4 linked regions of the Diceros bicornis minor genome follow. The protein of the gene in region 1 interacts with the protein of each later gene in a pairwise test. Links are inferred from orthologs where the notes say so. Each region holds a gene or a part of one and is shown in the gene's direction. Other genes may lie near its edges.

Evidence for each region.
Region 2: the proteins of FHL3 (region 1) and SAXO1 interact in binary tests that used the Homo sapiens proteins (3 or more experiments, as listed by UniProt). The two-hybrid records come from large-scale screens. The link is inferred for Diceros bicornis minor from reciprocal best matches to the Homo sapiens genes FHL3 and SAXO1.
Region 3: the proteins of FHL3 (region 1) and RHEBL1 interact in binary tests that used the Homo sapiens proteins (3 or more experiments, as listed by UniProt). The two-hybrid records come from large-scale screens. The link is inferred for Diceros bicornis minor from reciprocal best matches to the Homo sapiens genes FHL3 and RHEBL1.
Region 4: the proteins of FHL3 (region 1) and MRPL27 interact in binary tests that used the Homo sapiens proteins (3 or more experiments, as listed by UniProt). The two-hybrid records come from large-scale screens. The link is inferred for Diceros bicornis minor from reciprocal best matches to the Homo sapiens genes FHL3 and MRPL27.

The regions. Positions count from the first base shown.
Region 1 is NC_080752.1:51,939,254-51,946,567, reverse strand, and holds the start of FHL3 (four and a half LIM domains protein 3), read left to right. Parts: upstream 1-4,293; 5' UTR 4,294-4,365; intron 4,366-4,372; exon of another isoform or gene 4,373-4,449; intron 4,450-7,314. UniProt on the Homo sapiens protein: Recruited by SOX15 to FOXK1 promoters where it acts as a transcriptional coactivator of FOXK1.
Region 2 is NC_080761.1:41,259,544-41,267,315, reverse strand, and holds the start of SAXO1 (stabilizer of axonemal microtubules 1), read left to right. Parts: upstream 1-4,751; 5' UTR 4,752-4,766; coding exon 4,767-4,789; intron 4,790-7,772. UniProt on the Homo sapiens protein: May play a role in the regulation of cilium length. Stabilizes microtubules at low temperature.
Region 3 is NC_080756.1:20,581,682-20,589,098, forward strand, and holds the start of RHEBL1 (GTPase RhebL1), read left to right. Parts: upstream 1-4,398; 5' UTR 4,399-4,578; coding exon 4,579-4,630; intron 4,631-5,233; coding exon 5,234-5,305; intron 5,306-5,653; coding exon 5,654-5,721; intron 5,722-5,996; coding exon 5,997-6,079; intron 6,080-6,162; coding exon 6,163-6,219; intron 6,220-6,423; coding exon 6,424-6,471; intron 6,472-6,816; coding exon 6,817-6,898; intron 6,899-7,056; coding exon 7,057-7,146; 3' UTR 7,147-7,417.
Region 4 is NC_080757.1:35,945,753-35,952,778, forward strand, and holds the start of MRPL27 (large ribosomal subunit protein bL27m), read left to right. Parts: upstream 1-4,022; 5' UTR 4,023-4,048; coding exon 4,049-4,088; intron 4,089-6,470; coding exon 6,471-6,602; intron 6,603-7,003; coding exon 7,004-7,026. Other genes in the region: crossover junction endonuclease EME1, read right to left, coding at 1,600-1,727, 1,813-2,599.

The DNA.
Region 1 (7,314 bases):
CTAACTGCTACCAGCCAAGGCAGTGAGCTTTGCTGAGCCTCGGTCTCCCCATCTGTAAAATGGAGGTAATGATAATACTATACCCACAGGATTGTTGTGAGGACTAAATGAAATAATATATTTAAAGTGCCTAATGCTGCGTTCACCCCTTAGCAAGTTCACAATCAATTGGAGCTATTATTTTTTTTATTACTAAACCTACCTCTAAGGATAGAGAGAAGGTTGAGCACAGAAGAGCATTCCAGAGGCATTTGGTTTCTTTTCCACCACGTGAAACTAACCTTCAGCAAGTTCTGCAGTTGCACCCATTTCCTATGATAGGGCCCAAAACTCCAGCTGAGGAGCTCTGGGGAAATTCTCTCCTCATTCCCCAGAGGTGCCAGTCCAGGAGACAAGTAGGCACAAAAGTAGCTGAGATCTGCCATGTAAAAAGTTTTTTCCAGGGGCCGGCCCCGTGGCTTAGTGGTTGGGTGCGTGCGCTCTGCTGCTGGCGGCCCGGGTTCGGATCCCAGGCGCGCACTGACACACTGCTTCTCCGGCCATGGTGAGGCTGGCTCCCACATACAGCAACTAGAAGGATGTGCAGCTATGACATAGAGCTATCTACTGGGGCTTTGGGGGAAAAAATAAATAAATAAAATTATTAAAAAAAAAAAAAGTTTTTTCCAGCTTCTGAGTCTGAGCCCAGCCCGACTAGGGCCACGTGCATTAACAAAATTCCATCTCATTTGTCACTTAACCATTGAAAGATAAGACCTTTCATGATCTGGCCCATGCCCACCTTTCCAGCCTCATCTGGATTAAGAAGCCCAGCCATCAAGCAGGGTGACCAGGTGGCAGCCCCAGTCACTCTTGCCACTTTCCCTGAGGAAAGCATTGAGTGAGGGCATACCCAGGAGAAGGCAGCTCTGCACACTGGAGGGCGGAACGTTGGAGTCAGCCCTGGATTTAAATTGGACACCAACCACCTATCAGCTTGTGATTTGGGGCCACATTGTCAAACTCTCTGAGCCTGTGTCCTACTCTGTAAAATGGTGATAATAATGACCACCACCTCCTATGGCTTTTGTGAGGCCTAAAGGAGGTAAGAACTAGCACTTAGCACAGTGCCCTGCATGTAGTTGGCATTTAACCACATGTGAGTTCTCCTTCTACCCCCCACACTCATGCTGTAGAAGTCACTTATTTCATCCTCTGTGCCCACAAACTCATTGCCAGACTTGGGATCACGATGAAAGTGTTTCTGGGCAATCTGAACGTGGGAATCTGCTAAGCCATGAGGCCTGCAGGGGCTCTAGGCAGCCCAACGGGTAAGAGTGAGCAATATACCCAGAGAAGGAAGGAAGTTTTCACACTGGAGGAAGGAGGGCTTGTGGTTACAAGCATCGGAGAGTGATTCAGCACCCAGAGGAAACCATGAGAGGCCTGTGAGTTGTCACCCAGGGCCTCCTTTTGAAAACTCTTTCGAGGTGAGAGAACAGTTGGAAGCCCCCTTCCACCACAAGCTAAGGAAGGGTGTATGGGGACCTCCTGGTGGGTGAAGGGATAATCAGATCCCACTTACTCAAGGCCAGTCATCCAGCACTTAGTCTTTGCTTCCAGCCCCGCCTCAGACACACCTGTTCCTGGAGAGGGGGGAGGAGTGACAGGGAACAGGAACAGGGAGTCCATGTGGCTGATCCCTAGACCTCTCTGGGGCACGTCCTCTGGGGTCAACGGAAATAGAGCAAGCAGGGAAATGTGAGCCCACTGGGGAGCTAAAGACACAGGCCCTGCCCTACACCAGTCTCCCTCCCCCACGCTGGGCCACATCAGAATTCTCCTAACTTTCTCTGGCCTCCAGACTCCAAGTGCAATAGCAGAAGCTTAACACTTGACCCTGAAAGGGGGGAGGTAGGGAGGGAGAGTCCCACGTGTTGAATACCTACTGTGTGCTCTCATCAGTCCTCACAAGAATGCTGGGAGACAGGAGTCCACCACCCTTTTTTTTTTTTTAATTATAATTGTCCTCACTTCTGTTCACTTTGATTATTTTCTTTCTTTTTTTTTTTTTTTTCCTGCTAAAGAAGATTCGCCATGAGCTAACATCTGTTGCCGATCTTCCTCTTTTTGTATGTGGGTCGCCATCACAGCACGGCCACTGACAGATGAGTGGTGTTAAGTCCACACCCAGGAACCGAACCCGGGCCGCAGAAGTGGAGTGTGCCGAACTTAACCACTAGGCCACCAGGGCTGGCCCAAGGGGTCAACCACTCTTAACAGATGAGGAGACTGAAGGTTAAAGAGGTGAACTGACTACAGAGGCTGTAGAGCATAATGGTTAAGCTCTTTTTTTGGCCTAAGGAGCTTTGACATTTGTTTGTCTGGATTTGAATCTAGGCTTTGCCATTATTAGCTGTCACCCTTGGCCGTTACTTACTCTCTGTGCGCCTCCATTTTCTCATCCTTAAAATGGGGATTAAAAATACATATTTCATAAAGTCATTGGATAATCAAGTGCATTAATATATGTAAAGTGCTTAGACAGGGACTGGTGCAAAGTAAGAATTCAGGAAATAATTGGCTCTTACTAAGGCTGTTCAGCAAATTTAAGCTGTGAGTAAAAACCAGAGACCCTAACTCTACTTTGGTCCAGCACCTTCCTTGCTCACTCATAACCCCTCTCTTTCTGAAGGCTGCTCACCTTTGCCCTCCCCTCGCCCCAGAGCGGACCCCTTCTTGCCATCTACTCCCACCAGAGTCTTCCCTGCGCTTCCCAGGGCTAGGAGCTCACAGGATGGCTGCTCACTCCCTGGACTCCAGATAGTGGGTGCCTGTGGTCCAAACTGGGGGGTGGGGGTCCAAACTAAAGTAGTGCCTGCTATTCATTCATTCATCAGATATTTGTTATGTACCAGACATTGGAGTAGGTACTGGACATGTGGTGGTGAACAGGAAGGACCCAGTCGCTGCCCTCATGGCACTTACAGTTTAGGGAGCTGCAACAACCATTATAAACAAGCAGTTAGTTACTTTGAAAGGAAACTTGGCCTCTAGGGTGACTTTGGACCTGGGAAGGCAGCATGTGATTCAGAGATGGGAGGAGGGTGCTCAGGAGTTCCAGCCTGGGATGGACTGACACTCTGCTCTGAGAGCGTGGCTAGACCCAGTCTGGGGGATGGGAGAGCCTCTGTGGGCCCCTGAATCTCTACTCTAGACTCAGAGGTTATTTCCAGGGTTAGTTTGTTTTGCAAACAGCACAGTAGAGCCTCCTCCTACACCCCCCCCCCCCCCCCCCCCCCCCCCCCGCTTCCAGATCGAGGCTATTTATTCCTAGTGACAAGCCTGAGGATCCCAAGGGGGCTGGCCTCAAGGACCTGGAGGGGGCCTGTGTCCCTGGCAGGCGCCAGTCCTCCCTCCCAGGCACGGGGAGGAAGCCAGAGGGTTGGAAAATGTAGAGGTGGGGGAGGAGGGGTTCCCTCCACTTCCCTCCACCACCCCTGCAACACCCCATCCATACACACACACACTCCTCACACCCCTCCCTAAGAAGCCCAAAAATCATGGGGCCAAGGATTAGGGTGTCCCCTGGGCCTTAAAGGTCAAAACTATTCCTGGGCACAGTGGAAATGAGGCAGGACTTCTCTGTCCAAGGATGCAGCTGGAGGTGAGGAGGTGGTTACTTCTGTTTGCCACTCAGAATTGTAGAATAAAGCCCTTTGAAGGTCAAGGCCCTATGGGAGGGAGAGGGGTCCTCTCTTCACTCTGTGTTTCCAGAGAACACCTTGGTCCCCATGACAGGGCCATGACAGTAGAGTCAAAACCACCCCCTCCTCCAGGCTGGATAAGGCCTCCTTTACAAACTCGGGCTGAGTGTGACCCCTGGGGGTAGAATGGGGGGGTGGGGGCACGAAGAGGGCATGAGGACCCTCTGTTCTCAAATAGACCTTGGTCGGCTGGGTCCTGTACCCCTTGCCTGAAACGAATACAGCAGTCTCCCGCTTGCAGCTGTGGGGGGAAGGGGGAGAGGGGAGGGAGAGAGGACGGCAAAAGCTGCAGGGAGGGAACAGGGGCGGGGTCCTGGCCGCCCAGGAAGGTTGGGAGAGCCAGGTTAGGCTGGGCTGGAGCGGGGAGGCTGGGGCGGGCTCCAGTCTAAACGGGAGGTGGGGGCGGGGGCTGGCCCCCGGCCTCCGGGATGGGGGGCCGGGGGCGGGGTCCGCACCCTGAGGGCAGGGGCGGCCGGGGGCGGGGTCCGGGCGGGGCGGGCTCCCGCGCTCACTTCCTCGGGGAGGGGTTGGGGCCGGGCTCCCAGTCGCCCACACAGTCCGTGTGCAGCCTGCAGCCTCGCCGGCAGCTCGTCCGGCCCCCGCTTGGCCCGGCCCGCAGGTAGGAGCCGCCCAGGGACGCGGCCCCGGGGTCCCCGCCCCACCCGCGCGAGCGCCTCGCCCCGCTCCTGCCGCCCGCGTCGAGGTGAGCTCCCCGCCGACCCCGGCTCCGAATCCCAGCGCCCGGCCCCCGCCCTCGGGCCGGGGAGGGAGTGGCGGCGGCCCCCGCCCGCTGCCCCCCGCCCGGGGCCGGCCGCGGGCGCCGGGATCACGCTGAGCCCCAGAGGGCGCCCCCCGGACCGCACCGCTGCCCGTCGCCCGGCGGGGCGGGGGCTGCTTCGAGAGTGGGGCGGAGGAGGGGGCCAAGTTTGAAATGGAAAAGCCAGAGTCGAGAGAGAGTCTGGGAGGGTTCGAGAAACTGAGGCTCCCAGAAAGCCCAGAGGAGCGAGAACCCGAGACAGGGAAAGAAGGGACGACAGGCTTCGAGTGGTAGCTGCAGAGATACCCGAAAACGGGGACAGAAACTTGGCCGTACACTCCCCAAGAGACAGACCGAGGCATAGGGACGGACCCAGGTTTTGTGGAGCATTTTAAGAAAAAGCATACAGTGACGCCAGTGAACACGTCCTAGGATGCTTCCCAGGGCCTTCGAGGGTCCTGGGCAAGTGAGGGGCCCTGAAGCCTAAGCTTCCTTAGCCTCGTGGTGAATCAGGCTCTGTGAGGCCTTTGGAGACATTCAGAGACTGGAGACAGACTCTCGGGCATAGAGATGCTGTTGAGTGGTAGAGAAGGGGGGTGGGGTGGGGACCAAGACATTCCGCCCCATAGAGACACTGAGAGGCAGACTTGGGTGTTCAGAGGTAGAAATCCAGAGGTGGGCTGTTGGGAGATAGCCAGTCAGAGGTACAGAGACACCCACAGCGTAGAGACATCTGCTGAAGTGTGCAGGATACAGAGACGTGCTGAGGACCAGAGCTAGACTCAAAAGACAGAGGTTAATGGAGGCGCACTGACAGCTTCCAAGACAGACCCTGAGATGAGGGCTGTGGAGGCAAGGATGTGGGGAAACGGAAACTCTGGGCCCACTGAGTCCCCATGAGGAGAGGACCTGAGACAGTAAGATTGCAGTCAAGGAGGAGCCCCACGTGTGTACCAAGACAACCCCAACTTATTTTTAAACTCAAATCTTGGACGTGCTGCTTCAGCCCTGGGAGACCTGGGGTGAATGAACTGTTCCTCTCCTGTCCCCAGAGCAGCTGCTGGATCCTGCTTCCCATCCCCCTTCCCCTAAACTGCTCCAAATCCCAGGCCCCATGGGGGGAGGGGAGGGGAGAGTGGAGAGTTTGGGGTTGGTGCCTGGTGGCAGGGGATGGGGGGGGGGATTTGGATTTCTCCCCTGAAGTCTCCTGTCGACTCCTGGGACCTGGGGGAGGGGTCTGTTCTGATCCTGACTCACAGCTGTGGGGCCTGGCCAGGGTCCTCCTGGACAGTGGGAAGTGGAGGGGGGCAAAAGGGTTGAGCAGTTGGCATGGGTAATTGGAAAGGCTTCTGGGTGTCTTCCAATCGCAGGGCTGGCAGCTGGGGAGAAGAGCCAGGCTCCTGTGCTAGTGATGTCACCCAACATCTCCTTTCCCCCTGCTCTTAAATGGTGACCACCCCCTCCACCACCACTGCAGCATTTCTAGGGAAAGAGAGACAGGAAAGGACTCCAGGCTGGGAAGCAGGGGACCTGGGCTCTCTGATATCTGCGTGACCTTGGGCATGCCCCTGCCCTGTCCCTAGCTTCTGTGCTCAGCTGTACAATGGAGATAATATACTGTCCTGCCGGCCTTTTGTGAGATCTGATGAGACGGTGGGTGGGAATGCACTTTCTGAGAGGCAAAGCAGCATGCAGGTGTGTACACCTGTGTACCTGTGTGAGGGGCCTCACAGTTATGCTCACTGAAGTCAGGCTGGCCCATCTGGTCTCAGCGAACCCCATGGCCTGGGCCTCTTCAGTACCCCCAGCAGAACTAGGGGGTTCCCTCTTTGTTCTCTCCCTGGGCCTACACTGAGAATGTCCATGTCAAATGCCAGGGCAGCTCCCTGACCCAGGCCTGGCTGAGAAACTGTTGTCTGACCCCAATATGAATGAGGGGCTGATAGTAAAAACACTAATAGCTACTATTTACTGACAACTTACTATCTGCCAAGCGCTTTCCAAGTATTATCTCATTTAAGCCTGACAACTACCTTAGGAGGTAGTATTAGATGGGAAAATAGGCTCAGAGAGCTTAAGTGATTTGCCCAAGATCGCCCAGCTTTATATTTACCAGCTTGAGCGTCTACACACCACATGCCCACAGCCATTTATCCCACTAGTCTGAGCTCTAGGAGGTGCCAAATGTGTGTGTCTAAGTCAGGTGTAGGAGTGTGTGTGTGTGTGTGTGTTGGTGGGGGCAGGGGCTGGGAGCCATCTGGCAGACTGAGCAGTCTCCCCTCACCCCACCACCAGCCATGAAGGAATACAAGACTGGCTCCCTCCAGTCCCCCAGCCTTGCCAGGGATAGGGGGAGGGGCGGGGGATGGGCAGAGACAGGTGGGCCTTGATAGTGCCCTTCACTCTGTCCTCACTAGAGCCCAGCTGGACAGACTAGGGGGACTAGGGGATTCTGGGAAGGAAACAAGCCACGCCCATACCCTATTTGGGGTGCCCCTGTCCCAGAGTGGTGACTGCCTCCCAGGGGGCGGACCCAGGGCTAGCCTGGGCCTGGGAAGGTGGCGGCTGCTTTGAGCCAAGCCAGGAAGGAAGGAAAAGGCCCAGGGCACTCCTGGATGGACACATGGCCACACTCCACCTGTGCGGCCCCCTGCTGCCCAGTGGCTGACAGCCCAGGCAATCCTTAGATGTTGGGCCAGAGGAAACCCCGGGCCTGAGTGGCAGGGAGCGGACTGAGAAGGAGGGGTACCCTCCACCTTACAGCATAGCCGCCACCCCCAGAAGTCCCTGCACTGAAGACCCCAGCTGCTG
Region 2 (7,772 bases), on another chromosome or scaffold:
TTCTGCCATGTACTCTGCCTCCTGGAGTGAAGGAGAGCCCTCTTTATTGCTGATACCAGGCAAGGCTCAGTGGGGGATTCTAAAAGACCACAGTAGAGGCAAGACAAGCCACTGAAATCCACAGATGCTGTTCTCCTTACAAATAGGTTAGGTTCTAAAACACTATTGGAAGTCCATTTGTTTGAAAAGCCCAAAGTTGTGTTATACTAGCTACTATTCATGCTGCCTGGTGGTGGCAGGAAGAGTTGCCATGTTTTTCTTCTGATGAATAGCTTTGTTGGCAACTATGAAAATTCTTAACCTGTAAGGTTATAAGTTAAGGACTGTACAAGGCAGTACAGAAGAGAAAGGATCCTAAAAGAGGTAGGGACATGACACCATGCACACTAGAGGAGAGTCACAGCCATAACAAGGAGCAGTGGGATCGTCAGTAGCTCCCTGGGGTGGTGGTGGTGGTGTAGTGGTGGCTTTCAAGATGGGCCTTGAAAAAAGGGAAGCATTTTGGAAAAGTGAAAGTGGCGGGAAAGAGAGCAACTCCAGGGACCGTTACAGGTGTATAAAACTGAAGCTGGGCTCTGCGGAGAGAGGAGAATTATGGAAAACTCCTTCAATTAATTGTTCATGTCTTTTAATGCCTCTGATTGTGTCACATGAAAGCAGGTCAGAGAGTCCAAGCAAGGGACAAATTCCATATTAGCCAACAAAAATATTTCTAGGCATCTTTCTAGCACTTGAGTGCTTACAGTTCTTTTGTCTGTACCTTCAAATCCTAGACCTGCACTTTCCAACAGGGAAGCGACCACCACATGTGGCCTTTGAGCCCTTGAAATGTGGTAGTCCTAATTCAGACGTGCTGTCAGTGTAAAACACATCTTGGATTTTGAAGATGTAGAGGGAAAGTAAAAGATCTCATTAATAATTTTTTATATTGATTATATGTTGAAGTTATAATATTTTGAATAGATTGGGTTAAGTAAAATATTAAAATTAATTTTACCTGTTTCTTTTTACCATTTTAATGTGGCTAGTAGAAAATTTAAAATGACGTATGTGGCTCTCATTCATGGCTTGCATTCCATTTCTATTGGATGGTGCTATTCTAGAGGTGCTCGTTACATCCTTAAAGTTCTGTCATCTGTTCTAGGGTTCCTTGAGTCACAGTTGGCTCTGAGTGAGGTGCATGTCAGGAAATGCACATCGTCATTCTGATGTAATAGAGATGTAGGTTCTGTTTATGGTTAGGTCATGTACTTCATTCTCTGAGCTTCAGATTTTTCATCTACGTAGTGGGGATGTTGGGTCATATATTCTCCATGGCCCCTTTCAATTGCAAAACTCTATGATTCTGGCTTGGAGTCAACTACTGCTGAGTTTTTCTGGGTTCCATTGAAAGGTGTCTATTACCCCTTTTACCAAATATCAGAAAACGTCAGGATTATTTCCTTTTTACCTCTGGTCCTTTGGTAAATCCTGAGTGGAATGACTTTAGAGAGTTCTGATAGACTGAAGAAACCTTCTCTCTCCCCTTTTCCTTCTCTACCTATTGGCCCCATCTAGGCTTGTTTGTGCTGCTGAGCAAGGTGGCCAAGGCAGCTCCTAAAATGAGTACAAGTATCCGAGAACTGGAAGAGGTCTCATTTTTTTGGTTCATGACTGTCAAGCCTACATTTAAATCTTGCAAGCGTGGTGATTCCACATACTTTCTTTAGGCACTGATTAGGTCCATATAAACAGAGAATGTCTCTTTTCCCTTTTGGCTCTACTGATGTTTGAGCAAATCAGTTGTTTTCCTTTTCCGGAGGACTTGTAAATATCTTGTAGCAGTTCATTGTCCTATACACTGTCCGACTGCCCATCCATCTATTAAATAAATACATAAGCATTAGGATAGCTTCCAGAACACAGAGATGTCAGTCTTGGTCTTTATCGTAGAGGAAGTCCTGTTTAAGGAGGGGGTGGGCAGACCAACAAGGAGAAGATACAGTGCTTGGTGTCTTGAGAAGAATATTCTGGGTATTTGGGTACAGGTAAGGAGAGGTGACCCCATGAGCAAAGTCAAGCAATGAAATATTCGCTTTCAAATAAGAGTTTTTGAAATTTCAAAGTGAGACAAGGTTTTAGTTAACTAGCAGCAAGTCAAATCAGATCTGCCCTCTATGTGTCAATATAATTCCATTTAATGGAACATCAGTGTCTGAATGGAAGCTCGTTGCTATACTGAAATCCCCTCATGATACCAATCACAGTGTAGTATTTTGCCTTCACATTTATTTTTCTTTTGGAATAAGCCTTTACAGGATGTTACAATTTTAAAAAGTAACAATATGGAAAGGGGGTTATATAAAAGCAACATTTTACTGGTTAAAAAACAAGGGACCTGGAGAAGGAAAATATTGCTATATCTGTGGAGTCTGTTTTATTGCAAGTCCCTGAATCTAAGTTATTCTTAAAAAAATCTTGACTTTTCTTTCAAAGAGTGTGAGTGAATAAATATCTCTGTGGAGGTATTTTTGGTACTTCTTGGCTTTTGATTTGAGGTTTGTTGGAGTCTTAAAATGGTAGGGTACTAATTGGGTCAGATTGAAATCTCAGAGAATTGGACTGATTGTGAGCACAGATGATAATAATATCTAACATTTTTATACTGTGGGGAATGGTTATTTTGTATACTATGAAACTCCGCAATTTATCTCTTGAGTGGACAGGTGAAAGCCTGTATGTACCTATGATTAGGAGATACTTTATTAAATAGATACAAAATATAAATACGTATTCATCTTTGTACATTAAATGCCAACAATGTGCATTTTGAAAAAAGAATACTAAACTTTTATTGAGTGTATTTAACACTGTAAAATTCAGATATTCATAATATAAGGACAGTATACTTATGGAAGATTTCCTTGTAAATAATTAGAAAGATCTAAAATGTTCCCCATGAACCAATAGTACTTTTACAATAACAAAAATAAAAAATAAATGTAACAAGTTTATATCATCATAAGGCTTTTCCAATACACAAATCTATGAATGAGAAGAAAATAAATAGAGATATTTCTAAAGGAACTTGTTTATATGTAATTCAACCCATATGAACAATACAGGCTTGATCATTTTCTCTGGGGGTTGGGGGGTTGATGAGAGGTACACAGTAACAGTAAATGTTGGCTGCAACATTTGCGTAGAGGATTGAACTTATTAACAACAGGAGCAGCCTGCTAATCGTTGCCTGGAAAATAGCTTTAGATTTGAGCAGTGATGAGTTCCCTGTATGTCTGTTTCTCTCTCCCTCCTCCACGTGCTGCCCCACGGTACTGTGTATTTTAGTTTCTGTAATTAAAATCGATTCTGTGTAAAAAATTTAAAAATAATTCTATTTTTGATATAACTTTGTCATTCCTCGATATGACCAAGTTGGAAATCACTAGCAAGGAGTTTTGTTGATGTGCTAGTATCTAATGACTAGAGATGCCCTAAGTGGTTGGTAAGGATGGTATGTGGGCACACAGATAATTGATATACTACTTAGTTTTTGAGAGCTCAAACAGCTACCCTTTGTCCAGCTGTAGAATAATGTCCAGATAGTAGAATAATGAGGTTCATTTATTACCATGAGTGCAAAATGGACAAGCTTACTATAAATCATAACGTCAAATTATAATCTGTCATCTACCTGCATATTGAGGCATAAGGTTCATTTAATCATTCATTTATATATTCAATAATTTATTCAATAAAGGTTTATTGAAAGCTTAGTGTGTATCACGTAGGATATGAGGTGCTAGGGCTGTAGCTGTGAGCAAGATAGAAAAGGTCCTGAGCTTAATAGATGAGACAGACAGTAAACAAGCTTACCAACAAACATGCCTATTACAGATAACATTGAGTGATGAGGAAGGCGTACACAGTGATGAGGGAAACCGCGAGAGAGGGGACAGGGTGGTGGGGTGTAGTGTAGGTATAAGGTGATCAGCGGAGGTCTTTCTAAGGAGGCAACAATTCAGATGAGACCTGAAAGAATAAATAAGCCAGACTTTCAATGTGAAAATGGTTTCACGTAGTCAGTGGTGGTCAGTATACTCAGAACTGAGGTGGTTCTGCTATGTGTGCACTGATGTTCTGAATTGACCCAGGAACCATGAGGAGAGACACCAGCACACAGCCTTGGAGCATCTTGTTAGGTCAGGTATTAAGCCCTTAATTGCTGGGCAATTGGGAGGCCCGGGGAGGTCTCAGGGCAGGTCATGGGGCAGCTGGGTTGGCACTCAGAGAACTCAGGGCCACAACCATTTTCCTATTATGGGGTGGAAGTATTTCAATATTTAAAGAAGCAGTGTGGTACGTGTAGTAGCTGAATATCAGCCACACTTGTGTGTAATTTTATGGTCCAAGGAATTTTGACAATTAACCAACTGCAGTTATAGATCATTTAAAAAATTCTGGCTACTTCACATAGTTTAGTAGAGAAAAGGAAGGGTTAAATTCCTGCTTTCAATGCCAGCATTCACATGATTTTATGACTGGGTCACATTTTGAGGAGGTAGCATTATCAGACTGGATGTACTCTTCCTAAGAAGGTAAGCGACCTAACTTCATGTGTCTTTTGTAGGCGGCACCACTGTCCGCATCTCCCTACCAAGATTTACGATAAAACAGAGAAACCATGTCTTCTCTCCGAATACACCGAGAACTACCCTCTCTATCACTCCTATCTGCCCAGAGAGTCCTTCAAGCCCAAGCTGGAGTACCAGAAAGGGTCCATACCAATGGAAGGTCTGAGCACATCGAGGTGAGGGCAAGTAGTGTGAATATATGAACGTACAGCACTAGTGGAGTAACGTACAGTACTAATGTACAGTGTTAATGAAATAATGTACAGTCTTGCATTAATGTACAGTATCAACATATGCTATTAATGCTTTAATGTTAATTTGCTATATCTCTGAAAGGAAAATTCTGTATTTATTAGCCTGGTTGGTTTTTCCCAACCTCCTCTTAAAGAGAAAGGATTCTTGCTTGCTGGTGGGAGTGGGGAGACTAAATTGATCTACATAACGAAGGGTTGGAGGTTAAGCAAACTAATAAAACGATGGAAAGAGAGGGGCTGCTGCTGAAAAAGCAGTTTTGAGCTTTGGAACATAAGCGCCACGTCATCTAGGCTGGTGATGGCGGTGGTGGTGAAAGACAACTTGATAATAGAGAAAGAGTGAGCTTTTTGGAAATGATGCCGTAGACTTTGAATTGGGGTCCCCTTGAATGTCCTTGAAGAAAATGAACGAAGAATGTATTTCTTTAGCTCCAGGGCTGTGCAGAGACTGAACCACATGGCTCAATGGATTCGGGGTGCAGAGGGATCTGTATTGAGGGGTCGCTTTATGATAAGCCATTATCCTAAATGATTTGGTTTAAGCACAATGTTTCTGGGTCCTGATTCATAAAAAAATTATATTTTATGCAACCTGTTTTTTAGCCTGTGACTTAAACAATATGAACCTTAAAGTTTGCGCTTCGTTTTGCCAAGAAAACAGCATCCTTAGTTTCTGAGAGTCTAAAGACCACAAAAAGAGATGTGCACCATTCCTGAGCATTGCTTTTCCTTTTAAGAAACCATGGTCAATGCTAATGAAAAGTCCTCTGCACACATATGCACAAGAGACAAGTAACTGGTCGAAAAGAGTCAGAGTAATCTTGAAGAATGGTCTGCAAATATCCCGTTCAGCCTCTGGTGCTGGTCTTCCCATCTCTTTATATGCAATTTCCAGGAAATCAAGCGCACCTTGTGAGATGTAAACCAGTCTCAGATGTTGTTATATAAGGGATATATTTCCTATCCTGGAAATAGAGAAAAGGATGCTTTGAGGGATGGATGTTGAGGGGTGCCCTTTGTTTGTTGCCCACAAACTTAAGAGAATGAGGGCAAATCTTCTCTCTGGAGCTGGAGCCCTGCCCCATCACCCAACTCTGAGGCCCCCAGCTGGAGCCCCACATGCCCTCCCTCTTCCTGACAGTGCTTTGCAAAACAAAAACTTCCCCTCTGACCTGTCCTAAATTATCCCTGCCTTATGTCACTTACAATAAACATATGACCCAGAAGTTCCTTCTGTCCCTGCCAGGGCCAGAGTAGCAATATTATTCATGTCAAGATGTGGCCAAAGTGGAGGAATGCAGACACGGAAAGAATTTCCAGAACAAGTTGTTAATGATCATAAGGGCCTTAAAAAGAAAAACTGACAGGATCAAGGTTACCCATGAAGAGAATGAAGCAGAAATTCTTCTCTCTCTCTCGTTTGTTTCCTTCCCCAGAGAGGGAACTAAAGGATGAAATGAGCAGAGGGCATCCCTTCTCTTCTCTCCCCTAAGTTGTATCATTTCTCAGCCCTGTGCCTGCCTGGGCACTAGTTTTCATAGATCAAGAACAAAACTGTGTCTCAGTCAGGATGCATTTTTTTTTTTTGAGTTCCAGTAAGCTTTTATTGAGATAAATTAACAAACATCAAGATTTTACCAACCATCGTTTCTGAACCTTATAAACTCAGCAAAGATTCTGGTCCATATGTGTACATACAACAAAACTATTTCCTATCGGGAAAGGTAAAGAAGCATCATCTGGGTGCTGTACCAGAGGCTTCTGGGGGAAAGGATGGGTCAGCCCTGTGTCTTCACACCCCTGTATCTGCATGGAGTGTCTCCCTCTGCCCTTAGAACCCTTGTTATCGAATGTTCCACCAATTTCTCTATTTAAAGTCTGACCCAGCGTCATTTTTGAGATCGGACATGGGGCTGCCACCTGCTGAATGAAAAAGTCACGGGACCTGGGCCTTGGCTTGGTTTGCTGATTAAGCCCAGACACAAAAAACACCTGGTTTCTGGAAAGGTTATCATCCCAGCACGAGGCATCATTACAGCTGCACACAGCTCTTACTGACTGTAAATCTTGGGGATTTACAGCAGGTGCCATGAGGTGAATGCTCATGATTTCAGCCCTTCTTAGTATGAAACTGTTTCTTGCAGCCCTTGGTAATTCTCTCACGTAGGTTCTGCCTTTAGTTCATATACCTGAGATCAATTAATGAATAAGAGGTTTGCACTTCAAGCCTCACTTCCCCTTAGGCACGTCACTTATGTGAGACACTTGGGCCCCAGTTTGGGGCATTATTTTGTTAGCTAAGCCAGATTCCTAAAGATGGGCAAAGTGAATAGTCTCATAAGAAAGAGATGAGTCTTCAAGATGGTATTAGATATTTATTCTAAAGTGAGTGGCACCATGGGTAGGGAGAACTGGAGGCCCAGGGGGGAAGATGGAATTGGGTTCAGACTTGATGACTTTGGCTGAAGGGCAGAGGGCAGGGAGTTGGCAGCACAGACTCCTTCATTTATTGACAAGACTCCTGGGTAAAGTGAAGAGAGTAAGGGAAGCAGGAGCTAAAAGAGAAAAGGCATTTGGAATCCTTCCCCAAAGTCAGGAAAGAAGCAAGAAAGTTGGTAGTGGGCTTGAGTCTTTCCCTACTCATTGAATTTTACATATTTTCTATTCAAATACATACTTGACTTCTCTACTCATCCATACCCCTCGGGATATGCTTACTCTCCTGTATAGATGGGGCCTGAGAATTAATGAAGACATGCAGAAATAGGCCTCAGCACTAGACTTGCTGGGCAATTTCAGAGCCTTTGATGTGCATCTTTGACTAAATTTGGGGATATTTTGCATATTATTTCTTCAAGTATTCTTTTCTGTCTCTGAGGCTCTGTTCATTTCTTTCCTCCAATCT
Region 3 (7,417 bases), on another chromosome or scaffold:
GATGCCAATCCTCCTCTTTTTTGCTGAGGAAGACTGGCCCTGGGCTAACATCCGTGCCCATCTTCCTCTACTTTATATGGGACGCCAGCACAGCATGGCTTAACAAGCGTTGTGTCAGTGTGCGCCTGGGATCCGAACCAGCGAACCCTGGGCCGCTGCAGCGGAGTGCGCGCACTTAACCGATTGTGCCACGGGGCCGGCCCCTATGCATTACTTTTTCTCCTTTTTTTTTTTTTTCTTTTTTTTTTTGTGAGGAAGATCAGCCCTGAGCTAACATCTGTGACAATCCTCCTCTTTTTGCTGAGGAAGACTGGCCCTGAGCTAACATCCATGCCCATCTTCCTCAGCTTTATGTGGGATGCCGCCACAGCGTGGTCTGACAAGCAGTGCATCCGTGTGCACCCCGGATCGGAACCCGGGCCGCCAGCAGCAGAGCGCACGCACTTAACTGCTATGCCATGGGGCCCGCCCTATGCATTACTTGTTAAGATGATTGATATATATATATATATTTTAAAGATTTTATTTATTTATTTTCCCCCCCAAAGCCCCAGTAGATAGTTGTATGTCATAGCTGCACATCCTTCTAGTTGCTGTATGTGGGACGTGGCCTCAGCATGGCCGGAGAAGCGGCACGTCAGTGCGTGCCCGGGATCCGAACCCGGGCCGCCAGCAGCAGAGCGTGTGCACCCAACCACTAAGCCACGGGGCCGGCCCAGATGATTGATATTTAATAAACAAATGGATCTTGGTGCCAAGATGCACAGGTCTTACAGATTGGCTCACTAAACACTTATTCCTAATCACCTTCTCTTTTGCCTTCCTTTACTATAGAGGGTAGAAGAGAAAATGCTAAAATATCCAGGCTCCCTTGCAGCTAGAGATGGCCATATGATACAGTTTTGCTCAAGGAGATGTAGGTGAAAATATGCTGTGAGATCTCTTCCTGCATAAAAAGAAAAAAACCACAAGAAGAGAAAGCCTTTTGTCTTAGCCCTTTTGCTATCTTCCTGATTGAAAACAAGATAATTTGAGGATAATTTAATTAAGAGACTACAAAGGTATGGGCAGGGTGTAGGGAAACCACAAAGGGTAGAGTAGTACCCTGGGGAAGGATCAGAGAGGCTGTTACCACTATAGGTCTGAAGGGTGAGGGGAGGAAGTTACTGGAAACAGAACAAGAGAGCTGTGCGTGTGGGAGGGAGTACCTTGAGAGGTGTTGTGACCTTCAGTGGGGGACACAGATATGCTCCTCCCTCCATCTAATCTTCTGCGAATGCTCCCCTTTGGCTGAACCCCACTGGGATCCAGAGAGCAAGGTCTGCCTCCTGGACACAAATCTGGGTGGAAAAGAGTAGAGAGTTAATCTGGAAAGACAAACGGCATAAAAGGCATATCTTATTTATCTTTATATCCCTAGTGTGCAACACATAGTAAGAGTGCCTAGCACAAAGTAGAAGATGAATAAATTTTGATTGAATTTAATTTAATACAGTTCTTTGTTCTATCTTGCAGTGCTTTAAGACATAATCTGGAATCACCACCAACCTTTCTCAGGCCCAAAAATCCAACATAAAATTGCTAGTCTGCAAGGAAATTTCCTTTACCCAGTAGAAAAGGTATTTGGGTCCCTTTCCGAGGCCAGATTAAGAAGTGGCTCTTTGAAACAACTTTTGTAGATCTGGACATTTTGTGTGTGTGTGTGTGTGTGTGTGTGTGTGTGTGTGTGTGTGTGAGAGCAAGATTAGCCATTGCCAATCTTCCTCTTTTTGCTTGAGGAAGATTGTCTCTGAGCTAACATCTGTGCCAATGTTCCTCTATCTTTTGTATGTGGGTTGCTGCCACAGCATGGCTTGATGAGTGGTATAGGTCTGGGCCTGGGATCCAAACCCACCAACCCCAGGCTGCCAAAGCAGAGCACATGAACTTAATCGCTACTCACTGGGTGGGCTGCACATCTGGACTTTTTAAAGCATTAGGTGGTTCTATAGTTTTACAAAGCCTGTCCTCCAGGACAATGTAACTCCTACATGCCCACTTCATCAGGACCTTCCAGAAGAAATAACTTCTGTGTGCTACCTGTATGACTAAGTCTTTTTCCATATCTATAAGATAAGGGTGATAATGGCTACCCATCATTCAAGTCTCAGGCACAAATGTCACCTCCTCAGGCTTTCTAGGATATCATACAAAAAAAGAGGAGTACCACATCCCAAGTTAAGCTCTAGCCCATGAAGATTTTGTGTTTCTTTTTCCCCATTGCAGTTATTACTTTTTAAATGTAACTTATTTATTGTTTACTTGTAGATTGTTGGTCTTCTCTCAAAAGAATACTTGCTTTTTGTGGGCAAAGACCTTGTCTGTGTTGTTTGCTGCTCTATTCCCAGCACCTAGAAGGGTACCTGGAACATGACGGTTGTTTGAAAAATATTTGGGGGCCGGCCCCGTGGCTTAGCGGTTAAGTGCGCATCCTCCGCTACTGGCGGCCCGGGGTTCGGATCCCTGGTGCGCACCGAGGCACCGCTTCTCCGGCCATGCTGAGGCCATGTCCCACATACAGCAACTAGAAGGACGTGCAACTATGACATACAACTATCTACTGAGGCTTTGGGGGTCGGGGGGAAGGAGGAGGATTGGCAATAGATGTTAGCTCAGAGCCGGTCTTCCTCAGCGAAAAGAGGAGGATTAGCATGGATGTTAGCTCAGGGCTGATCTTCCTCACAAAAAAAGAAAAAAAAAAGAAAAATATTTGTTGATGAATGAATGAATAATACCAATCATCAACCTTAGGGCTGGTGTGAATATTAGACGAGATAACAATGACACGCACCTGGCACATAGTAGAACTATATAAATCTAGGTGTTTTCTTTCCTCCTTTTCCCTCCCTCACCTCCTATAGCCAATCCTTCAGCAGGTCAGATTGACCTCAGCGTCAAAACATATCCTGAATTCTCTACTTCGTTCATTGCTAACGCTCTAGTCAAGCCACTCTCACCTCTCACTTGGACTACAAGTAACAGTCTCCTAGCTGATCTCCCTGCTTCCCCTCTTGCTTCTGTTCCCCTCAAACCCCAATCCATTCTCCACAGCCAGGGAGATCTTTTGGAAACACAATTCAGATCATATCATGCCCCAACTTAAACATCGTAAACAGCTTTCTAGGTACTTAGAATTAGCCCAAACTCCTTTACATGGCCTGGTCCCTGCCATCCTCTCAGACTTCATCTGTTTTAGGCTAATTGGCCTTTCTCTCTCTCTCCTGGAATTTAACAAATTTATTTCCATCTTAGCGCCATAGCATTCATGGATTCTTCTGCTGAAATCTTCTAGCTAGCTGGCTCCTTATTGTCCTTTGGACCTCAGTTTAAATGGGGCTTCCTTTGGGAGAAAGTACCGTTAATCTAAAGTGGTTATTTCTTTTTTTTTTTAATTTTATTTATTTATTTATTTTCCCCCCAAAGCCCCGGTAGATAGTTGTATGTCAGGCTGCACATCCTTCTAGTTGCTGTATGCGAGACACGGCCTCAGCATGGCCCCAGAAGCTGTGCGTCGGTCCGCGCCGGGGTTGGAACCCAGGCCGCCGCCAGCAGCGGAGAGCGCGCACTTAAACGCTAAGCCACGGGGCCAGACCTAAAGTGGTTATTTCTTATCACACCGCCTTTTCTAGCACTTAATATTAGCTAGTATTTCCTTGTTTATATGTTTGTTTCTTCCCAACTAGGTTTTAAGTTTCGTGAGCACAGAGACCTTGTCTGTCATGTTCATCGCTCTATCCCCAAAGCTAGAGCAACGCCTGGAACATACAGTATATGCTTAATAAATATTTGTTGAATAAATGACTGCATTGATTATGATGATGATGACAACGAAACCTCAGACGACATGGCCACAAATTCTAACAATTTTCCCAAAAATAAGAATTGCAGTTCCGAAACTGGATCCCGGAAGACTGTGGAAACCTGACAATAAAAGATCTGAGGCTGAAGGCTGGGGCAAGCAAAGGGAATATGCTGGAACTTTGGCCTCTTTTTTCCTATCCAAGGACCCCAGAGACCTTGCAAAACGGAGGCCTAGAATCAGAAATTCCAGCCCAGCCAGTAGGGGTATTTTCCATCCAGATTGTTCGCAGCCACTTTTGCTAGGTTGCAAATGCGCAAACACCTCTAGGACCCCGGGTTCCTTTCTGTTTCTTTATGAATGAACCGGCTCTAGTCTACGCATGCGCAGCTCCTGGTTCTCCCGCTCCACGTGAGGCCCACCCTTCCCTCCTGCTGCCAGCCCCGCCCTTACCCTTTCTCATGGACCAATGGCGAGCGGCCTGGGGGGCGGAGCCCGGAGCGGCGCGGCACTGTAGTTCCCCCGGCGCCCGGCTCCCTCGCGTTAGTCTTGCTGTGTTGTGATCACGTGGCCAGCTCCGGGCGCGGCGCTTGTTTTGGTTTCCCTCTAGCTTGCCCCTGGCAGCTTAGGGGTTAGCGACTTTCCTGTGCCGGTTTGCGCGCCTGCATACACTCTGACCTCCTCTTCTTAGGGCTTTCTCAGCCCGCAGTTCTGTAAGCCCCTCGGGGCCGGCTCCTGCCATGCCGCTAGTTCGTTACAGGAAGGTGGTCATCCTCGGATACCGCTCTGTAGGTGAGTCTCCGCCTTGGGGAGAGCACGGACGCACCGCGGCTTTGTGGCCAGAGGAGGCGCGCTGCCGCGGGAACGTGACCCAGGGAGGAATGGAGGCATCGTTAGAACGGGAGTGTAGAGCGAGGGTTGAGAGGATGGAGGAGGAAAGGCTGGGGTGGTGGTAGTGTGTGGAGAGCTGCAGGAAGCCGGAGCATGTAAGGGTTAATGTGGGCTTGGCTGCAGGAACATCAGAGTGGTCCCCAGAGTTACTCTGGGGGGTGGGGATGGGATCAGGATTTGATGATGGGGGCGCGGTCTGTGTGCGTGTCTGGGTGAGGGGACAGACTTGATCCTAGGGAATTCCGGATCTTCCCGGGGTGGGGTGGGGTGGGGAAAGGCGGCAGGAAAGCTTTCCTGCGGCGCTATTGAATGCATCCGGTGGCCAAGGTGCACAGATCCAGGGCGAAAAGAGGGTGAGGGAGGCTAAGGGAAAGCATTGCATGGGGCACTCACAGGCTAGGGTGCTAATTTGGGGTCCTCTTTAGTCCTGGGCCACAGCCCGAAAGGACAGAGGTTGTGAATGTGGATGGTTGATTTGGATACAACTACCACTGCTTCCCACAGGGAAGACATCTTTGGCACATCAGTTTGTGGAGGGCGAGTTCCTGGAAGGCTATGATCCTACAGTGGAGAATAGTGAGTAGAATTCTTTCCTAGGGGTGGGGCAGGGAGGGCTTGGGTGCCCCACTCAACTCCATAAATTCGGGATTTTCTTGGTGCCAAGGGGTTGATTTAATTAGACATTAAATCGAATCTCTTCTCTAGCAGTCCTGTTCTATGAGTGGAGCTAGAGTGTGGACTTTGCAAGATACTGAGTCCAGGATGGTGTAGATGTAGACAATAAGAACCCTAACATTGTCTCTCCAGTTTCCTGGAAAGCTGTCTGGACCTGGTCCATCTGTGTCACCCCCAGGGTTAAGAAAGTATGGGGCACACATCACTAGCCCTACAAGGCACCTCAGTTAAGTTTTCTTTTCTTTTCAGCTTACAGCAAGATACTGACTCTTGGCAAAGATGAGTTTCACCTACATCTGGTGGACACAGCAGGGCAGGTACCAGTTTGGGGTAGGGTATCTAAATGTGGCAGTTCAGTCCTGGGAGATGAAGTCTGGTAGCCTCTGTGGCTTATCTGTAAAGTAATATTAAAAGAAAAGCATTTTAGCAGCTAGTAGTGTGCAGTGCTCATTGGAACTACTCTATAAATACTTGTGGAATAGAAGTGACTGGAGTAGGGAGTGCCCCAGGGAGGGTCCCCAGGATGCAGCCCACCACCCTTTGCTATTTGAGTGTTGTGGATCTCAGTATTGATATTTCTATTTCTTCTCAGGATGAGTACAGCATTCTGCCCTATTCACTCATCATTGGGGTCCATGGTTATGTGCTTGTATATTCTGTCACCTCTCTGCATAGGTAAGTGAGTTGTGAGTGGAGACTTGGGAGGATCTGAGGGCTGTGCCAGAATAAGGTTATAGCTCCATATCTTGTGTCTAAAGCTTCCAAGTCATTGAGAGTCTGTACCAAAAGCTACATGAAGGCCATGGGAAAACCCGGTAAGTGGCCCTGGGGGACAGAGACATAGTGTGGACATGAGGGGATGGGAGAGGGCAGAGGGGAGTATTGGTCCAAGTTAGGGAGGAGGCCGAGACATAGATCCTGTCTGGTCTGATGGAGAGTTGTCCAGCTGTGATAATGAAGGAGGTTGGGGTCCATGGGGAATGGGAGGGGATCCTATAGTAACTGCTGTTTCCTCACAGGGTTCCAGTAGTGCTAGTGGGGAACAAGGCAGATCTCTCTCCAAACAGGTATGGAAATCTCTGCAGCTCAAGGTGAAGGAAAGTGAGCTGGACTAGGAATCAGTCAGGCTCTAGTCCTGGCTCTGCCACTGGCTTGAACAAGTTCACTGCACCTCTTTTCATTTCTAACTTGAAGGTCATGACAAGATAACCCTTCTATTGCAAAAGCTATAATTTCATATTTTAAGCCTCAGTCCTAGGCTCCTTTGTTTTCCTGTATTTTCTCCTTCCCCAACCCTCCTCCCAAACCTTGGAAGTGAGATGGGTCAGAGGAAGTCTAGATTCTATAAAGATTTTGAAGAGAACATGGGGACACTGCTATCCTCCATCTTCATGTCCCAAATTTGCTTCTAGGGAGGTCAAGGCAGTTGATGGGAAGAAGCTGGCAGAGTCCTGGGGTGCGACATTTATGGAGTCATCTGCCCGAGAGAATCAGGTGCTGGGTCTGAAGATTAAGAGGGTGGTCGGGGTAGCAGTGTTTTTCTTATGGCACTGCTTGGTGGTAGGGATGGTGGGGGAGTTGGGTATTCACCTCAGAGCTGGGCGGTATTGGCAGGGAACTGACTTTTTGCCCTGAATCCCTGTCCCTTGCAGCTGACACAAGGCATCTTCACCAAAGTCATCCAGGAGATTGCCCGAGTGGAGAATTCCTATGGGCAAGAGCGCCGCTGCCGGCTCATGTGAGCCCTTGGGCATGGGGTAGCTGCCTTGACTCTGCCCCTGGCACTTGCCAGGCTCCAGTGGGGGCAGGCCCTCAGGACTTCACGGGTATGGTTGCCAGCTGTGTCCCTGGCTCTCTGGGCACACAGTGTGGTACCCTCATATTTGCACACTTTCCCCAGGCTCCAGTGGCCTGGTTGTCAATGTTTACAAAGGGGCAAGGATGTCTCATGGGCACTGGCCTCTAGCCCTCTGTTTTTGCTAAATGAGTTGTTATAATCTGCGGGGTTGGGAT
Region 4 (7,026 bases), on another chromosome or scaffold:
AGGATGTGCAGCTATGACATACAACTATCCGCTGGGGCTCTGGGGGAAAAAATAAATAAATAAAATTATATTAAAAAAAAAAAGAGAGAGAGTGGGGGCCCGCCCCGTGGCTTAGCGGTTAAGTGCGCACGCTCCGCTGGTGGCCCAGGTTCGGATCCCAGGCGCGCGCCAACGCACCGCTTGTCAGGCCATGCTGAGGCCACGTCCCACATAAAGAGGAGGCAGATTGGCACAGATGTTAGCTCAGGGCCAGTCTTCCTCAGCAAAACGAGGAAGATTGGCACTGGATGTTAGCTCAGGGCTGATCTTCCTCAAGGAAGGGAGGCAGGGAGGCAGAAAAAAAGAGAAAGTGTGGAAGTGCCTTGAAAGGATAAACTGCTTTGTGAATATAAAGGTTTGCTAATACCCCAAATTAAAAAGTGTGTAATTGCCCTAAATTACTGAGAAAATTATGAGATCCAAACAAGACAGGAAAAAAATCTTAATGTTTCATCACTAGACTCTTGAAAATGAGGGGTGGAGTATTTTGGATTCACAGATAAGAGGAGTGGAAGGCACAAGAGCTGTAGTAACCCGGGGAGCCGGGACAGGGAAGGAACATTTACCGTGCGCCTACTACATGCTCAGTGCGTGGTTATCTCATTTAGTCTCCACAACAGAGGGGACTGAGAGGGACTAACCGTGTCCTCATTTTTTACATGAGGCACAAAGAAATAATTTGCCCAGGGTCATAGCAATAAAGCCATGAGACTGGGATTCAGACACGAGCCCGCCCTTTCCCAAAGCCCAGTTAGAGAACTAGGACTCCTGTGCAGATTATCTTCCCTCTGCCCACAGATCCACTCTCCACCCTTCCCTACTCTGTTGTCTGCTGGAGGAGGGTGATCTCTACAGACCACATCGCAAGGGGTGCACGCCCTCTGGCTGGGTATGGCCAGTGGGAACCCAGCAGGAGATAGGAAGGAGGGAGGAGTGAAGTCAGGGTATGGCTTTCCCTGGCTCCCTCCCAATGGGGTCACCTAGGTTTGCCTACACTCCTCTACTGGAGGTCAAACTTCTCTCAGGTGGGTTCTCTTTACATTTCTCTCTCCTTCCCGATTTTTGTAAACACTTCCTCCTCTCATCCCTTCAGGCCTAGGCATGGAAACAGCTATGCCAGTGGTTCTCAACCAGGGGCGATTTTTCCCTACAACAGACATCTGGCAATATCTGGAGACATTTTCCATTGTCACGATGGGGAGGGGTGCTACTGGCATCTACTGGACAGATGCCAGGGATGCCACCTAAGCATTCTACAATGCACAGGATAGCCCAGCACAACACGATTATCTGATCTGAAATGCAAACAGTACCTGAGGTGCAGAAACTGGTTAATGCTGTTATTACCGTGAGGTACTGAGCTGCCCCTTGTAGTTTCCTTGTACCCTGCCCACGCCTTAGAAAACACTCCCTTTATTAAATCCTCCTCAAATTATCCTAAATTGAGTGTGCCATCTGTTTTCCTGCTGGGGCCTTGACTGATAGATATCCTTTAGAATAAAAGCATATTTATCCTGTAACTCTAAAGGGGAGGAGAGAGATCAGCCAGAAAACCCCTACCTCGGCTGGCCCAGCCCTCCTCCTCCAGGTGATGCTGTGAGGCACGGCCTGTGCCTCAATCACACAGCAGCATTCCATGGACTGCAGTGCTCCGAGGAGCTGGCCCCCACCTCCCATCTGTAACAGCACTGCAACAGATGGGAAAGGGGCTGTCAGTGGGTGGCCCAGAAGGCAGTTAACTCAGCATAGGGTGAAGACGGATGCTATGAGGACCTGGATCCAGCACCACAACGATGTGCTTTAAGCATTCCTCTGGCCTCTGAGCTTTCAGCCCATTAACCAGTGCTGCCTTCTTCTTCCTTTCCTGTTGTCTCAGGGTGCTTTCCTTCTGGCTTGCTTGTCCCCGCTGCTGGCATCCCTGTGAGCCTTTCTTCCGGACCTTCTGACTACGCTTGGTTCTCTTCTGAGGCAGGGCGTCCTCAGCATTCGTTTTGATTACTGTCCAGCTGTTGCTCTGGACAGGGCAGGTACCTTGGTAGGCTGGAAGCTGATGGCATGGATTGTCTACCAAAAGGTCTTTGTTATTTAATGCACGCCTCTCTGAGGTGTCACAGAGGGGAACATCACGGATCTTTGGAAAGGGCTGTTTTTTCCAGTCACATAATGCTCCTTCATAATTTTGATGATCCACAATACTTTCAACTGGGGAGCTAGAGTCCTCGGGGCTCAGCTGCTTGTGGGTCAAAAACTTACATGTTAGCCTCTCAGCCAGGGGAACAAATTCCTCCTCATCTTCACTTCCACTGCTTAGCACCCTGACTGGCTCGGTTTGTATGACCGTTGCGGCCGTGTCCGGAACAGGTGGTGGATCTTTCAACCGTGGTGATGAAGGACAGGAAGCCTCAGAATCTGAAGTGTCAACCACTATAACCTTCTCCTCCCTCTGAGGGTGTCTTCTCTTTGCTGAAGATGGTTCCTTCTTTAGAAAGGCAAATGTTGGCAACTCCTCAGAGTCACTCTCACTGGATTCCAGTGAGAGTGATGACTTCTTGAGAGCCATCAATACGTGCTATCAAATTAATTCCCTAAAAGGAAAAGAGAGAGGAGACAGAGACTCAATCAATTCAGTCTACTAGAGGTGTTCTATGGCCTAGCTTTATGGAAATAAATACAATATATAGAGAAATAGAGAAACAGAGAAATAGGAGAGGGTCCCAACACGTTCATTCTGGGACTCAGAACAGTTACGTCTGTAGCCTAACAGGAACCCTCTTCAAATCCTTTCTAGGCCAAGGTGAGGTATAAGCAAAGTGGAAGTTACTATTACAAAATTTTAATGGGGTAGTAACAAGACTCAACAGCACCTCCTTGTTGATCTCTGCATTTGAACTGGAGATGCCAAGTCATCCTTTTTTAAAAAATTGAGATATAACTCACATACCACAAAATTCATCCTTTTAAAATGTACAGTTCAATGGGTGGTTTTTGGTATATTCACAAAGTTGTACAACCATCACTACTACTAATTCCAGAACGTTTTCATCACCCTAAAAAGAAATGCCATAGCCATTAAGCAGTCACTGTCCATTTCCCCCTCCCCTAGCCCCTGGCAACCACAAATCTACTTCTATTTCTAAGGATTTGCCTAGTCTGGATATTTCATATAAACGGAATCATACACTACGTGGTCTTTTGTGACTGTCTTCTTTCACTTAGCATTATGTTTTCAAGGTTAATTTATGTTGTAGCATGTCAGTACTTCAATTTTTCCGGCTGAATAATATTCCACTGTATAGATATGCCACATTTTGTTTATCCATTAATTACTTGATAGATATTTGGTTTGTTTCCATTTTTTTGGCCATTATGAATAATGCTGCTGTGAACGTTCACGTCCAAGTTTTTGTGGGGACGTATTTTCAACTTTCTTGCATATATACCTAGGAGTGCAGTTGCTGGATTATATACAAAAGACATTCCTCGAACAAATATTTACCAGTGCTGTAGGTGTGACACGGGATGAGCAATGTAACCTTTCTGGGCTTTCTTCTCTAGTAAAATAGGAATAACAACAATACCTACTTTAGAAGGTTGTGAGAAATAAATGAAATCATGCATCTGCAAGGCTTAGTACAGTATCTGGCACAGGGTAGGCGCTCAGTAAAGTAAGCAGAATGACTAGGGAGGGACCTTATCCCTGTCTCCCTGACTCCCGCAAAACGAGGGATCGGCCAAGCCGGCTCCTGCCGGGCACGCTCCGCGCCTCTCACCCCGGCCCCAGGGCGGGGCAGTTCCTCCACACTCCGCGGTCCAGGACGCCCTGGCCACCAAGCCTCTGCGGAACAGGGATCAAGAGGGAAGCCCTGCCCCGCCCGCCCGCCGCGCCAGCAGCCGCTACGCTCACCTGCGACTTCTCGCGCCACTCTTTCAACTGTCTCGCACGCCCCGGAAGTATATCGCCCGGTAGCGGAAGTAGATTTCTGAGACCGGAAGCGAGTGTACGGCAAACATGGCGTTGGCGGTGCTGGCGCTGAGGACGAGAACAGCTGGTAACGGGACGCCGTGGTCATTGCGGGGCGAGGGCTGGAGGCGGAGTGGACACCTTGCAGGGAGCCGCGGGGTGGAGGCCGGTTCCTCCGGAGGACCCTGGGTGCGGACGGGGGAGTGTGTGGGGCCCGCGAGGTTTGAGGGGTGGCTGTCTCTGATCATGTGACACATCTAGGGCGCCGAGCCGTGTGGGTGGTGGTGGTTCGAGGAGCACGTGTTCCTCCCCTGCCTGGCATGCAAGTACAGCTTTCTTGGCAGTTGGTGACATGGGCACTCTGCTTCCTCTCTCTGAGTTTGTTTGGATCCCTTCATCTATAAAAATGGGGTACTAACATTGGCACATTGGAGCTCAAAAAGTGAATCCGATCGTTCAACGGATTGAGCTCTTTGTGCCAAACACTGTGGTAGGTGTTGGGGATCTCAGAGAAGATGAAGACGTAGTCTCTATCCCCTGGACGGTTCTTTCTAGTGGATGAACCAATAAATGAGCACATAAATAAAATGGTTGTAAATTGTGACAAGTGCTGTGAAAGTAAAAATGTGTGTATGTGTCTTTCTTTGGGTTGGGTGGTCAGGGAAGCCCTCTGAGAAGGTAACATGTAAGTTAAGACCTAAAGGATGACAGGAGCCTAGCCCTGGAAGAGAGTGAGGGCAAGAGAGTGACTTGACCGAATTTTACATTTTGAGAATTAAACCATTGCTCTTACGTGAATTTAAGAGGGGATAGGAGTGGAAATGAGGAAACCGGATGGGAAGCTGTAATAGTAGCCCGGATGAGAGATGATTTAGCCGAGATGTTAGTAGTGTCAGTGAACTTGCAGGGAAATGGATGGATCTGAGATCTGTTTTGGAGGTAGAATCCACAGAGCTTGCTGGTTAGCTGGATATGTGAGGTGAGCATAGGAAAGGAATCTGCAACTGCTTAGGTGGTGACATCATTTACTTGGAGGAGGAGGATGGGGAGTAGGGTGGAGAGCAAAGATTTGTGACTGAGATGATATAGGTAAAGCAAGAGCCCAGTTCCTGAGCTTGATAAGTGAGTGAATGAATGAATAAAGAGGTGTTTAAAGGTAGGTAGGGCCGGCCCCGTGGCTTAGTGGTTAAGAGCGTGCGCTCTGCTACTGGCGGCCCGGGTTCGGATCCCGGGCACGCACTGATGCACCGCTTCTCCGGCCATGCTGAGGCTGCATCCCACATACAGCAACTAGAAGGATGTGCACCTATGACGTACAACTATCTACTGGGGTTTTGGGGGCAAAAAAAAAAGGAGGATTGGCAATAGATGTTAGCTCAGAGCCGGTCTTCCTCAGCAAAAAGAGGAGGTTTAGCATGGATGTTAGCTCAGGGCTGATCTTCCTCACAAAAAAAATAAAAAAATAAAAAAAAAAAAGTAAAGGTAGGTAGATCCTGGTGCTGGGCATTTAACATGTTGTCTCTAAGTCTTTATCGCTGGTCCTTTGCCCCAGCTAGTCTCTGTTCTCATTAAAACTTCAGAAACCTAGGCTTCAGGAACTCTAAGCTTACAGGCTCTAGAGACCCACAAGGCTTCTCTAAATACCCTGGCATGGCCCTGATTAACCATGGCTGTGTCTGGATACCTGAAGGCAAGCACTGCCAGCCCTGCACTTGTCATATAGCAAGTGGTTTCCATCTTGGTTAGTATGAATTTTAGTTCACTTTCCTTTTTAGAATAACTGCCGTTGAGCACTTTGGAATGAGTATGGAGAGGTCAGATTAACAAGGGCACGGTGTCAGTCTTCTTGGTCGGACCTATGCTTGATGGGCTTGCCGAAAAAAGAGTCCAGCCTTCTGAGATGGCCAGGAGCCTGTGGGAGCCACCCTCAGAGATGCTGCCCTTTTTGTTTACAAGTATCTGGTGTGCAGTGGATGGGTGGGTGGGTAAGAAAGTGGTGCATGGGGCCAAAGTAGGAGCCTCTCTGGGTGTCCTGTTGCTGGGTCCTGTGGGCTGGCCCCTCCACATTGCATGGAGCCTTGAGGGCATGTGGTGAGTGAGGCGGAAACAGGCAGCTCTGTGGTGTCCTCTTGCTGGCTTCTGTTTCTGTTTGTCTCACAACAGGACTGAATGTGTCAGGATGCAGGACACGTGGTGTTTACTTTTTTTTTTTCCCATTTATATTTCACTGCCCCCTTCTCCCCTGGCCACACACACACAGTCTCATGCAGTGCTTACACCCTGGAAAATACAAGGAATGACTTGTCCCTCGCCAACACAGTCAAGTGGCATTTCTGCTCACATATTTTCCTCACCTCCCCTGCCACTGCCCGCTGCCATCTCTCAGCTTAGCAAATGGCCCATTGACGCAGAGAAAGAGAGTCTGATTGGGAGCCTCTCTGTCTGAACAACATTTCTGTTCTCTCTGCAGTTACAGCCATGCTGAGCCCCCCTCAGGCTGAAGCTCTTGCCGTCAGATATGCATCCAAGAAGACAGGTGGCAGCTCCAAAAACCTCGGTGGAAAGTCACCAGGCAGACGCTTTGGCATCAAGAAAATGGAGGGTGAGGGTGTGCCTTGGTTTCTATTTCCCAGCTGCACCCTACCCTGCTGCCCCTGGCATTCCTTTGAAGAGTGGGAAGACCATGCAGGTGCCCCACCGTCACTCTCCTTTAGCTCACGAGAGCATTTGGCTCCAGGTTAGAGAGGCAGAAAGACCTGATGCGGGGTGGGGCCCTGAGGTAGAGTAGATAGATAGGAACCTTGGCCATGTAACTGGAGAGAGGAGGCTGCTGTGTGGCAGACAGGGGGCTGCTTGTGTTGGACCATCTGGAAGTTGGTTTTATCCAGGGGCAGCCTTAGAGGTTGGTGTGCAGCATTTGGGCTGTCATGTTTTCTTAGCAGTTTGTTGCGCTGCCCCATCACTGGGACCCAGAGTGAGTACACTTGTGTACTTCTCTTCTAGGTCACTATGTTCATGCTGGTAAC